2 linked regions of the Drosophila melanogaster genome follow. The protein of the gene in region 1 interacts with the protein of each later gene in a pairwise test. Each region holds a gene or a part of one and is shown on either strand. Other genes may lie near its edges.

Region 1 (4,840 bases):
TTTTATGCGAATGTGACTGTCAATACGTTGCAAACATCATTGGAATAGGAATAGGAATAGGATGGAGCCTGGCTACATGTAGTTTTTTTTTTGCCCTCCTAGAGGGCTGGAATATTAGCTGTCCTTGTGGTTGTAGTTGCAGTCGGGTGGCTGTGGTTTATCATGGGTGGCGAATGAAGTGAAGCTAATTTAAAGTCAACCATCGGGTCAGATGTGCTGAAGCTGCAGGCCCAGGGAAATCGACACCAATTTCGGATGCCTTGTTTAACGTTCGGCTGGCTCTCTGCCCTTGCAAGTTTCTTTAAAAGAAACACTTTCGTACACACACACACTGGAAACCCATCAATTGCAGGACAAAGGCACTCGGAGCACATTAGCAACACATGCCAAGGGGATTTTTCGGGGGATTCAACCTTTTGGGGGTAATGTAAGAACCCTTTTGTCGAGTGATTCGCAAGCCTGAACAGAAGCAAACCGAACCAAACTTATAATCCCGAAACATATGTCGAGGGGCTCCATTAAATAAAACTTAAATCCCTGGCAACCTCTTTTCAACACTTGCAAAAATATGTTGTGCCCCCGCACATTGGGTAGTAAAAAGAAGAAGGCCAAGGAAAACAGGCAACAGCAGCAGCAAAAGGGTTGAAATAAAAATGAAATTAAAATATGTGAGTGGGAACCAGAAAATATTGCACCTGCAGATGGCAAGCAAGCGCACAAACAAACGCAAGGATAATACAATGGAGCTTGGATAAAATGCAGCGATAGTAAAATCTTTTTTACTAGATTTAAAAAAACATAAATTTATGTTTAATTAAATGTCTAATGTAACAAACAAATCGAATGACTTATAAAGAAAAGCTAAAACAATTATGTTACCAATAAAACCATTCAATCAATAGGAATTCCAGTTTTTGAACGATGTAAAAACATAAGCACTCTTGGAACAGTTCGTCTTATAGAGATCTCCCTGTACAGCGCTTGACTGAGAATGAGTGACGACCATTACCGACCATTTCGACCACAATAAAATGACAAATGCCCGAAAAATCTGACCATGTTCGCACACGTTAGAAGGAGCGGCAGATGCCGTCAAACAAGTCCCATGACGGGACTCATCACCTACCTCATCCTCGTGCTGCTCCTGCTCCACATTTTGGCCACTCCATCTGGCCGAAAGCGGCCTAACCTCCACCCAAAACCTGAGCCTAACAAGTGTCGTTTGCCTGTCAGAGACGAACGGACAGTATGGACAGACCAGTAGTAGGAGCAGGAGCAGGACAATGTCTGGGCTTTCCCTTGCTGCTGGCCCATCATCATGGCCATCATGACCATCACGACCATCAGGCGGCGTTTTTGGGGGGTTTAACAACCAGACCAACCGAGCAACCAACCAACCGACCGGCGGGCAATGGGGCTTAGTACGATGACGACAAGTCCAACAACTCGGACAGGGACAAGGCGAAAGCCTATTAAAAATCATGCTAAACGGCAGTAAAACAATGTGTGTGTGTTTCAACACCAGTTCCCAGTTTTGCTGGCCAGTTTGGAGTCCTTGTTTTCGGGTAGCTGCTGCACCCGACCTAATGCGCATTAACGCCAAAGTCGAGATCCCCAAATCCGAGATCCGAGTGGAGCCAGCAGATATCCCCGCCATTGCAATTCGTTGACGCCAATAAATAAAATGTAATCAGCTTTTCCCGCCCACCCAGCGAACTCTCGGCGATTGAGAGTCTAATAAAAGTGCTGCTTGCAGCAAAATAAAATTCAGCTCGAAAACAATTTTAAGTAGATTGGCAGAATGGAGCGACAGACTGGAGTTAAGGAATGGCAATGCAAGTTGACTGGAAATTGCTCCTTTTGGCCTCTTTTGTGGCAATTGCATTTTGTATACTGCACGTTAACACTGTACTCAGACGAAAAGCTTTTCGATGGCTTTTGTACGAGTATTTTGCTTACTCGAAAGTTGTTTGCCATTGCATTGCAACTTAATTTACATAAATATGAAAGCTATTTGTGTGCACTTAAAGTTAAGAAACCAATCTTTTTATAAATCCAATATTAGCTACTTTTGATTATATTATAAAGCGGCCAGAACTTTCTTTCACGTCTATGAATACTGCTTTACACAGATTGTTCAAATATTTTCGAATCACGTACTCCTTGAAGCTCAACTGTCAGTTGGTTTCCCAAGTGCTCGAACACCAATATGTTCAGTTTCATTTTATTAGTACGCCGGTAGAGAACAGATCGTTTTTAAAAAAGTCCCCAGAAAAATTTTTCGTTTTTTTTTTTCTCTCCAATATAGTTAAAACTTTCTCTTATCTTTTTTCGTTTCGGATTTTTCGACCAAATTTTGAGTGTGGAAACAGACGGACTAGTTTTAATCACCCAAAATTTTTGTAGTATTACTTGCGTTCGAAGGGGATTTTTTGAAAGCCCATATCCGATTTTCAAAGTATCCGAATATAACCAAGCAGAACTAACCGCCAATCAGGATGAACAAGCTACGTCAGATTCACTGCTCGTTGAAAAATGCGTGTGTCCTGTGCAAACCGCATGTCCTGTCCAGTGCTGGCGTGAGATTCTCCTGCGGCGATGGCAAGACGATGGCGAAGGGCGTGGTCGTCGGCCTCTATCAGAAGGAAGGCGACAAGGATCCCAAGCTGACTCCCGCCGGCCACAAGATTGACCAGCGCGTCCAAGGCAAGCTGATGAAGGCGATCTGTGAAACGAAGTTGGACGGACGACTGGGTCGCGGCAAGGTGTTCCACAACATCGATACCGAATTCGCAGCCGTTGCCGTGGTGGGCGTGGGCCTGGAGGGCATCGGCTTCAATGAACTGGAAATGCTGGACGAGGGTATGGAGTTCGTACGTGTGGCCGCCGGCGTAGGTGCCAGATCCCTGCAGCAGCAGGGTATCACCAACGTCTTGGTGGACGGCATGGACTACGCAGAGCAGGCGGCCGAGGGCTCCCAACTGGCCGTCTGGCGTTTCCCGGACAATCTGTCCAAGAAGAACATGCCGATGGTGCCGACCCTGGAGCTATTCGAGTCGCCGGATCACGAGGGCTGGACTCGTGGCATCTTCAAGGCGGAGGCCCAGAATTTGGCAAGACGCTTAAGCGATGCCCCCGCCAACTGCATGACGCCTACCATGTTTGCCCAGGCCGCCGTGGACGCTCTGTGTCCCTGCGGCATTACCGTGGAGGTTCGCACCATGGACTGGATCGAGGCCCAGCGCCTAAATGCCTTTCTGATGATCGCCAAGGGCAGCTGTGAGCCGCCAGTGCTCCTGGAGCTGAGCTACTGCGGCACCGCGCCCGATGACAAGCCCATTCTGTTCGTGGGCAAGGGCATCACCTTCAACTCTGGTGCCCTCAACCTGCGCCCTTGCAGAGGCATGGATGAGTATCGGGGCAGCATGTCCGCCGCCGCCTGCTGTGTGGCCATGATGCGCTGCATCGCCGCCCTGTCGCTGCCCATCAATGTGACGTGCATCATTCCGTTGTGCGAAAACATGCCCTCAGGAATGTCGGCGAAACCTGGCGATGTGGTCACCCTGCTCAATGGCAAGTCGATGGCCATACGTGATCTGGACAAGGCTGGTGTGGTTGTGCTATCGGATCCCCTGCTCTACGGACAGAAGACGTATCTGCCCAGGTTGGTGGTGGATATTGCCACCCTTAACACGGGAGTGAAGAAGGCCTTCGGTGGTGGCGCCACTGGCATCTGGTCCAACTCACACTACATCTGGAAGCAGTTCCAGCGAGCTGGCTCCATTTCCGGTGACCGTGTGTGGCGTCTGCCACTCTGGCAATACTACAGGCGCCAGGTCACCGATGAGCGCGCCTATGATCTGAGCAACAATGGACGTGGATTGGCCAGCTCCTGCCTGGCGGCGGCCATCCTTCACGAACTAGTGCCCTGCGTGGACTGGGCACATCTCGACACCCGTGGCACTGGACTCCTGTCCAAGTACGGTCTAGTGCCCTATCTAACTAAGAAGCGTATGACCGGACGACCCACCCGAACCCTTGTTCAGTTCGTCTACCAAATGGCCTGTCCGGAGATGAAGTAATCCATTTAGCTGATTTAGGCGGTTCTGTTGCCGTGTGATCAGTGATCAGTGCAGTGATCAGTGGCCGATTCACATTCGACCAAGTGTTATATTTCGTTTGATATTTTCAAGTAAATCAAAGATTTTCGGCGTGATTTTGGCATAAAAAGTTTTCATATATTCTATTAAATGCTAACTGGCGGAGGTTACTGTTAAAGCTTCAATAAATTTAATCTACAGTTAGATTTTAATACGATTTCATGGCTATACTTTCTTTTCATTTTCCCCCCAACTCAGGTGTGTCTGGGTGTCTCCTGTACACACGCCCTGCTCATTTCGCATTTTCACATTTTCAGGACACTTTTCGTGGCCTTTTGCCTGGTTGCGCACAAAGACGCACCATTGGCCGGGGACTTTGCCTTCTGGTTCGCCAAGGAAATACAGATAAATTAAATTCAGGAAACCCCAAGCTGCGCGAAAGTTTTTCCGCCAGTGAAAGAAAATGTTAATTCCGAGACGCGGGTGGAAACGGAGTGGAGTGGACTGGAGTGCATTTCCCTGGCACACGCTTCAAGTGCTTGAGGTTGGCCAAATGAATATATATACCGTATCAGCCGCCATATATCTATATCAATTGGTCCAGACAGCGCCCCAAAATGTCGGGCCAACACACATACACTTGGAAAATATAATCTGCTGTTTGAACATTAAGTAAATTAAGTGAGAGAGATATATGAACTAGGTGTGGTGAAGTGATTTCATTCACGAGGTAATTTTCA
Region 2 (5,080 bases), on another chromosome or scaffold:
CGAGCGAAATTGAGCGTGAAAACAGAGGAAACGCGAGGATAGATATTGTATAAAAACATGCGTATTTAACAGCGGCTGACCTTGTTTTCATTTGCGCCTAACAAGCTACGGAAAGTGAAAGACTTTGATTGGAATTCTCATAAGAATGTGAAACAGGTTTCGCTCTCATAACGGTATCTGCATACACATACACACACACACACACAGATGAGCCGTAATAGCCAGGCAAAAACAAGAAAAAGCCGGAAAAAGAAAGTAAAAAGGCAGAAAATGTTTAGTTTATATTTCTAGAGCGAGAAAGAGAGAGAGAGAGATATGGGGACGTAGAGAGCGACTGTTAAGTAATACATTTGCAGAGAAAGCGCGCGCAAAAGACACAAGAAAAAAAAACACATTTGCATGTATTGTGTGCTACTTATTGATGGCGTTATTTTCTGGTGTTTTTCGCACAATTGCCGCAGTTTCTGAACGCTGCTTTTGACATTGGAAGAGTTCAAGCGGCTTTTTTTTTACGAATTCGATTTAAACTCATTTTCGATCTGCGAAGGTCAACAGCAAAACAAAATGAAGCCGACTGCACGCACACCAAGGCAATATTTACACAGATACATTCACCACAGTTGTATGTTGCTTGTGTTGCTCCTTAAATATGTTACATATTTAACATATATGATATGTTGTGACAATCAAATAGTACTTGCAATCTTTACCTTGGTTGAGCCGCTCGATTTTACAACTGTTATTTATCACACTTTATTTTCAGTTTAAAATGCACTTTTTCGCTTCCTTTTCACTTTTGATTGCTACTGACATCAACTTGACGTTCTGCTAGTGACTGTATGTTAGCTCCTAACAGCTTCGGCAATTTATCGATTAGTGCTGTTAACGCTACAGCTACCTAACAGAATTAAAGAAATATATTAAATTTAACAAAAATACTGAATACAGCTAGCTGGTCATACTCCTGTTTTACATTTTATTTAATTTACGAATACGTTTAATTTAAATTTTGTTGATATATAATTTAATAAATTTTTTGGTCTCAAAACGTCTTAGCTAACCCCACACAAAACCACTTCGAGATTATTCTGAGGTTCTACGAAAAAAAACTTGTTATATATACAGAGATATATGTATTTTAAAACCAAATAAAAATGAACCTGTATATAATAATACCATAAGATAGCTACTTACTCTACGAGCTGTGAGCCTTGAGTGCCGGTGCTCATATAACTTTCTTAAGCTTGCTTGATATAATTTTCATATTGCATATCTAAAAAAAAATAAAAAAATAATTATAAAATTTTTGTAAAAAGTTCAGTAAAAACAGTTTAATTCACTTATTACCTGGTATTTCCTTCTCTGCAAATATAAACGAATTTTAGATATTTTCAAATTTGTTTGAGTTGGTGTGTTCTGTTTATTATGAAAACATGGATACATTTTTAACAAGTGCTCAAAATATTATTTTATTTACTAAATATATCAATATATAAAATAAATTGTATTTTCTATTAGAAGACTAGTAATAAAAATGACAAAGTTATAATAATACCATTGGAAATAATTACCAAATTGCAATTTTTGAAATTGCAAAGTGTGACTGCACGAATACTTGTTGAATATCAACTGCATGAATTAAATTTCGCTTTCCGAATCAACGAAACATCAAATTTGGTCAAACATGAGCAAAACATGTCATATAATATTAACAATATATTCTTTAAGAAATTTAACAATTTTAAATAAATTATGAGTGACCCTGTGTTGTGTAAAATATGTGGTATTTATTCAGTATTTTTGGGTTTTTTTTTCTGTTTTTCGGCAGCACTGCGCGGCGGTCACGCCTTTGTATTGTATTTATATTCATTCGTTAAGCGACGGTCGTCCAAAAAGGCAGAAAATGTGGAAATTCATTGATGAACAGTGGTGAAAAGTGCGTGCAGTCATTCGCTTCAATTTGTCGTGGCCGATTCCTTTTCGCAACCAATTTTTCTTATTTTTTTTCTTGTCAGTAACAAGTTGTCGGTCAATAAAAGTGTCAGTTTATTTTCTGCATAATAACGGTTACTAAAGCCTAAATTTTTTGTTTGTGACTTCTTTTTTTTTAAACAAATGCGCCGACGCGCCAGAAGTTTATATTCTGTTTTTATGTTTTCCGCTTAAAACGAAACGTGACTAGTTTGTTTTAAATTGGTGTGCAACGAAAACAAGAAGAAGCGGATGAAGAGGGTGGAGAGGAGAGGAAGCAGAAGAAAAAGAGCAACAGTCAAGTGAATTAGTTTTTTTTTCGTCCATGCCGTCGCTGCCAACGTCGACGCCGTTGCGCCGCCGCATTTAGTCATTGCATCAGTGTGTCCGAGTGTGTGTGTGGCAGAGAGAGCGAGTGGGAGAGCAAGGGTGGAGTAAAAGTAAATGCGTGCAATTAGCATTTAATGCAATCACCATTAACCGCCTACTATTGTAATTTATATTACCCTAGTACCTGTAATTTACACATACACCTACACACACACCTGCTCAGCTAGTGGTAGTGCAAATATGAAGTGCAAAAAGCGGCGGCAACAACAATTGTCTGTTAATTGCTGGATATTTCGTAATGCAGCAACAATAACAACGGTAGCAAACTGTAATGCCACAGTGAAGACTCGCTAATCGAAACTTTGTCGGGCATATTAACCAAATTCGTTATATGTTTGCATTGAATTTACATTTCATATATTAACTTCTAAATCTCGTTAGATTTACATGCTCGCGTGTTCAATAGCAGGGAGGGCCCACTGTACTTGTAGTGAAGCGCCGTTACAGCCACAAATGCGTGTGAGTGTGATTATGTATGCATGTGTGTCTGCATCAAATCACACACTTGCAGCGCTCATGCACACGCACTTGTACTTGTGCGTGGCTCACATTTCCATAGCCAGCCGCTTCCCCCTCCACGATCAGTGTTGCTCTTCACCTGCAGCTTTCGCTTCTGCTTCTTCTTCTCCCGCACGCATGTGCCGTTACAAATTCGCTTGGACATAAATCATTTTTCGTGCATTAGCCGGCGATTGTTAATGGAAATCGTATTAGAAAACAACAATTACAATGGGCCCACATCTGCCGCTCTCGCTCTCGATCGCGCTCATCATTGCTCTCCCGTTTCCCGTTACAGAGAGTGCAATACAAGTGCAATATTAATTAAGTAATAGAGGAAACGTAATATGCGTGTGCAATACAAACAAATGACCATGTAACGGCCAACAGAAATGTATATGCAATACAAACGTACATACATGTGTAAAACAATAAGCGCAAAACACCGCCCATCCCCGCTTGAAAAGTAAAACCAGCAATCTGCGAAACCTTCGACCATCATTGGGTTTTACTGTACTTGAAAATGGACTGTGCCACGCGAAAACAACAACAATTACGGGCACATCATCAGCAGCAACAAATACAAATACAAACACATGGACGAAAGCGGCAGCAATTACAAAAACAACGCCACAACCACCACCACTACTACCAAAATTCACAACAACAACAAAAACATTTCGTGTGGCTTGTTGTTGGCATTTTGACAATTTTTTTGGCTCAGGTGAGTGAGAAAAAAAAATGAAGGAAAAGAAACAACAACAAAACATAGTGATAAAGATAAAGCGACAGGTAAACCCGCAAAGTTAGTTACCTCTATGATTTGGGGGAAATTCGTTGGGAAAATTCTGAGGACTCCTAATGGATGGCGCAGGGTTGTCAAAAATATTCATATTTTAACTAATTACAATGCAGATTTCATAGATTGGCCAGCAACACAGACAATTTGCTAATTATTTTGAAATGTTTTTTTCTGTTTTTATTGATTCTTTTTTTTTCGAAAATTACAAGCCAACTATTTTCCACATTTAGTGGCAGAAAATGTCTTAACTGGGTTTTTGATTCGCTGAGTGCGTTTTAGGAACTCGTTTGGCCGGTTCTAGTTGTGATTTTGGCTGGGTGTTATGTTATTTTAATATGAACTCGCTCAACCGCTCACTAAAATTGAACTAAAATTACGATAAATCCAGATTTCATATAAAATCGAATAGTGAGATACAAATATTTAATGTGTTCAATATTTCAAACCAGGTTTACTTGTTATCTGATCAAACTTCGGTAGTCAAACTATTGATTGCATAGCTCGAAATCTTTAAAGGCAATTTAGAAGCGCAAATTAGAAGTTTAGGCCCAAGTCAATTTGAAATGACACACACAGGTGATGAATCCGGTGATTAAATTTGATTTTGTTGGGTGATTTGTGGGCTTATTCCCGTGATTATTCCTTGTTTTATTGCCTGAGTTTTTTTTTTTACCTCGTTCACAAAACTCGTTTCATTTCGTTTCGTTTTGCATTGTTGTCGCATTGTTTCAGCGCAAACGAAAGACAATAAAAACAAAATCCCAACCATCGCAACGCAACAAGTAAAAAGTTAAAAAAAAAAAAAAAATGATGAAAACACTAAAAAGCGAACGCAAGTTAAAATCAAGGTTGGTTCTGATGACGCTGTCCATCGCAACTTCCTCACTCTGAAAAAATTTCAATACGCTTATCGAGCGATTCCCCGAGATAGCCCAGCATAGTCGTAAACTGTTTCTAAGCTTGAAATAATAAAAAATAAAAAAAACTATAGAAATCAAAGCCTTAATAAATAGATGGCAAAACTTGTATCTTTGCTGCTGCAGTTTGTGTATTCTTTGTATCTCAGATGATCACAACAACAATAAAGTTGTCCCTGATTTCGCAGTTTCTTTGGCCACAATAACTTGAATGCACTGCCGTCTTAGTTTTGTTTTTTTTTTTTCTTTCCACATGCTTCATATTCATAACTCACGTGTTTCTGGCACTGTGACTTTGGCTTTCATTTTATCTGGGCATTGCCGCGATTGCGGATCGCAGGTCATTACGTGCCGGCTTATCGCCCGAACTTGGAACTTGGCCGAAAGTATTCGTATTACTAAGCGTCCCAAACATACAAATGCGAAAATGTTTATAAAAAAAATAAAAAAAAATGCCAGCGAAGAAGAGTGGCGATGACATCAGCCAGGTTTTCGGTCACTC

What was found.
Region 2: the proteins of S-Lap7 (region 1) and Ptp4E interact in a two-hybrid assay, tested with the Drosophila melanogaster proteins (one large-scale study listed by BioGRID).

Annotation. Positions count from the first base shown.
Region 1 is NT_033778.4:13,777,601-13,782,440, reverse strand, and holds S-Lap7 (Sperm-Leucylaminopeptidase 7), read left to right. Parts: upstream 1-2,195; 5' UTR 2,196-2,498; coding exon 2,499-4,082; 3' UTR 4,083-4,317; downstream 4,318-4,840.
Region 2 is NC_004354.4:4,937,265-4,942,344, forward strand, and holds the start of Ptp4E (protein tyrosine phosphatase 4E), read left to right. Parts: upstream 1-1,863; 5' UTR 1,864-1,936; exon of another isoform or gene 1,937-2,040; intron 2,041-2,172; exon of another isoform or gene 2,173-2,268; intron 2,269-2,316; exon of another isoform or gene 2,317-2,411; intron 2,412-3,157; 5' UTR 3,158-3,382; coding exon 3,383-3,583; intron 3,584-5,080.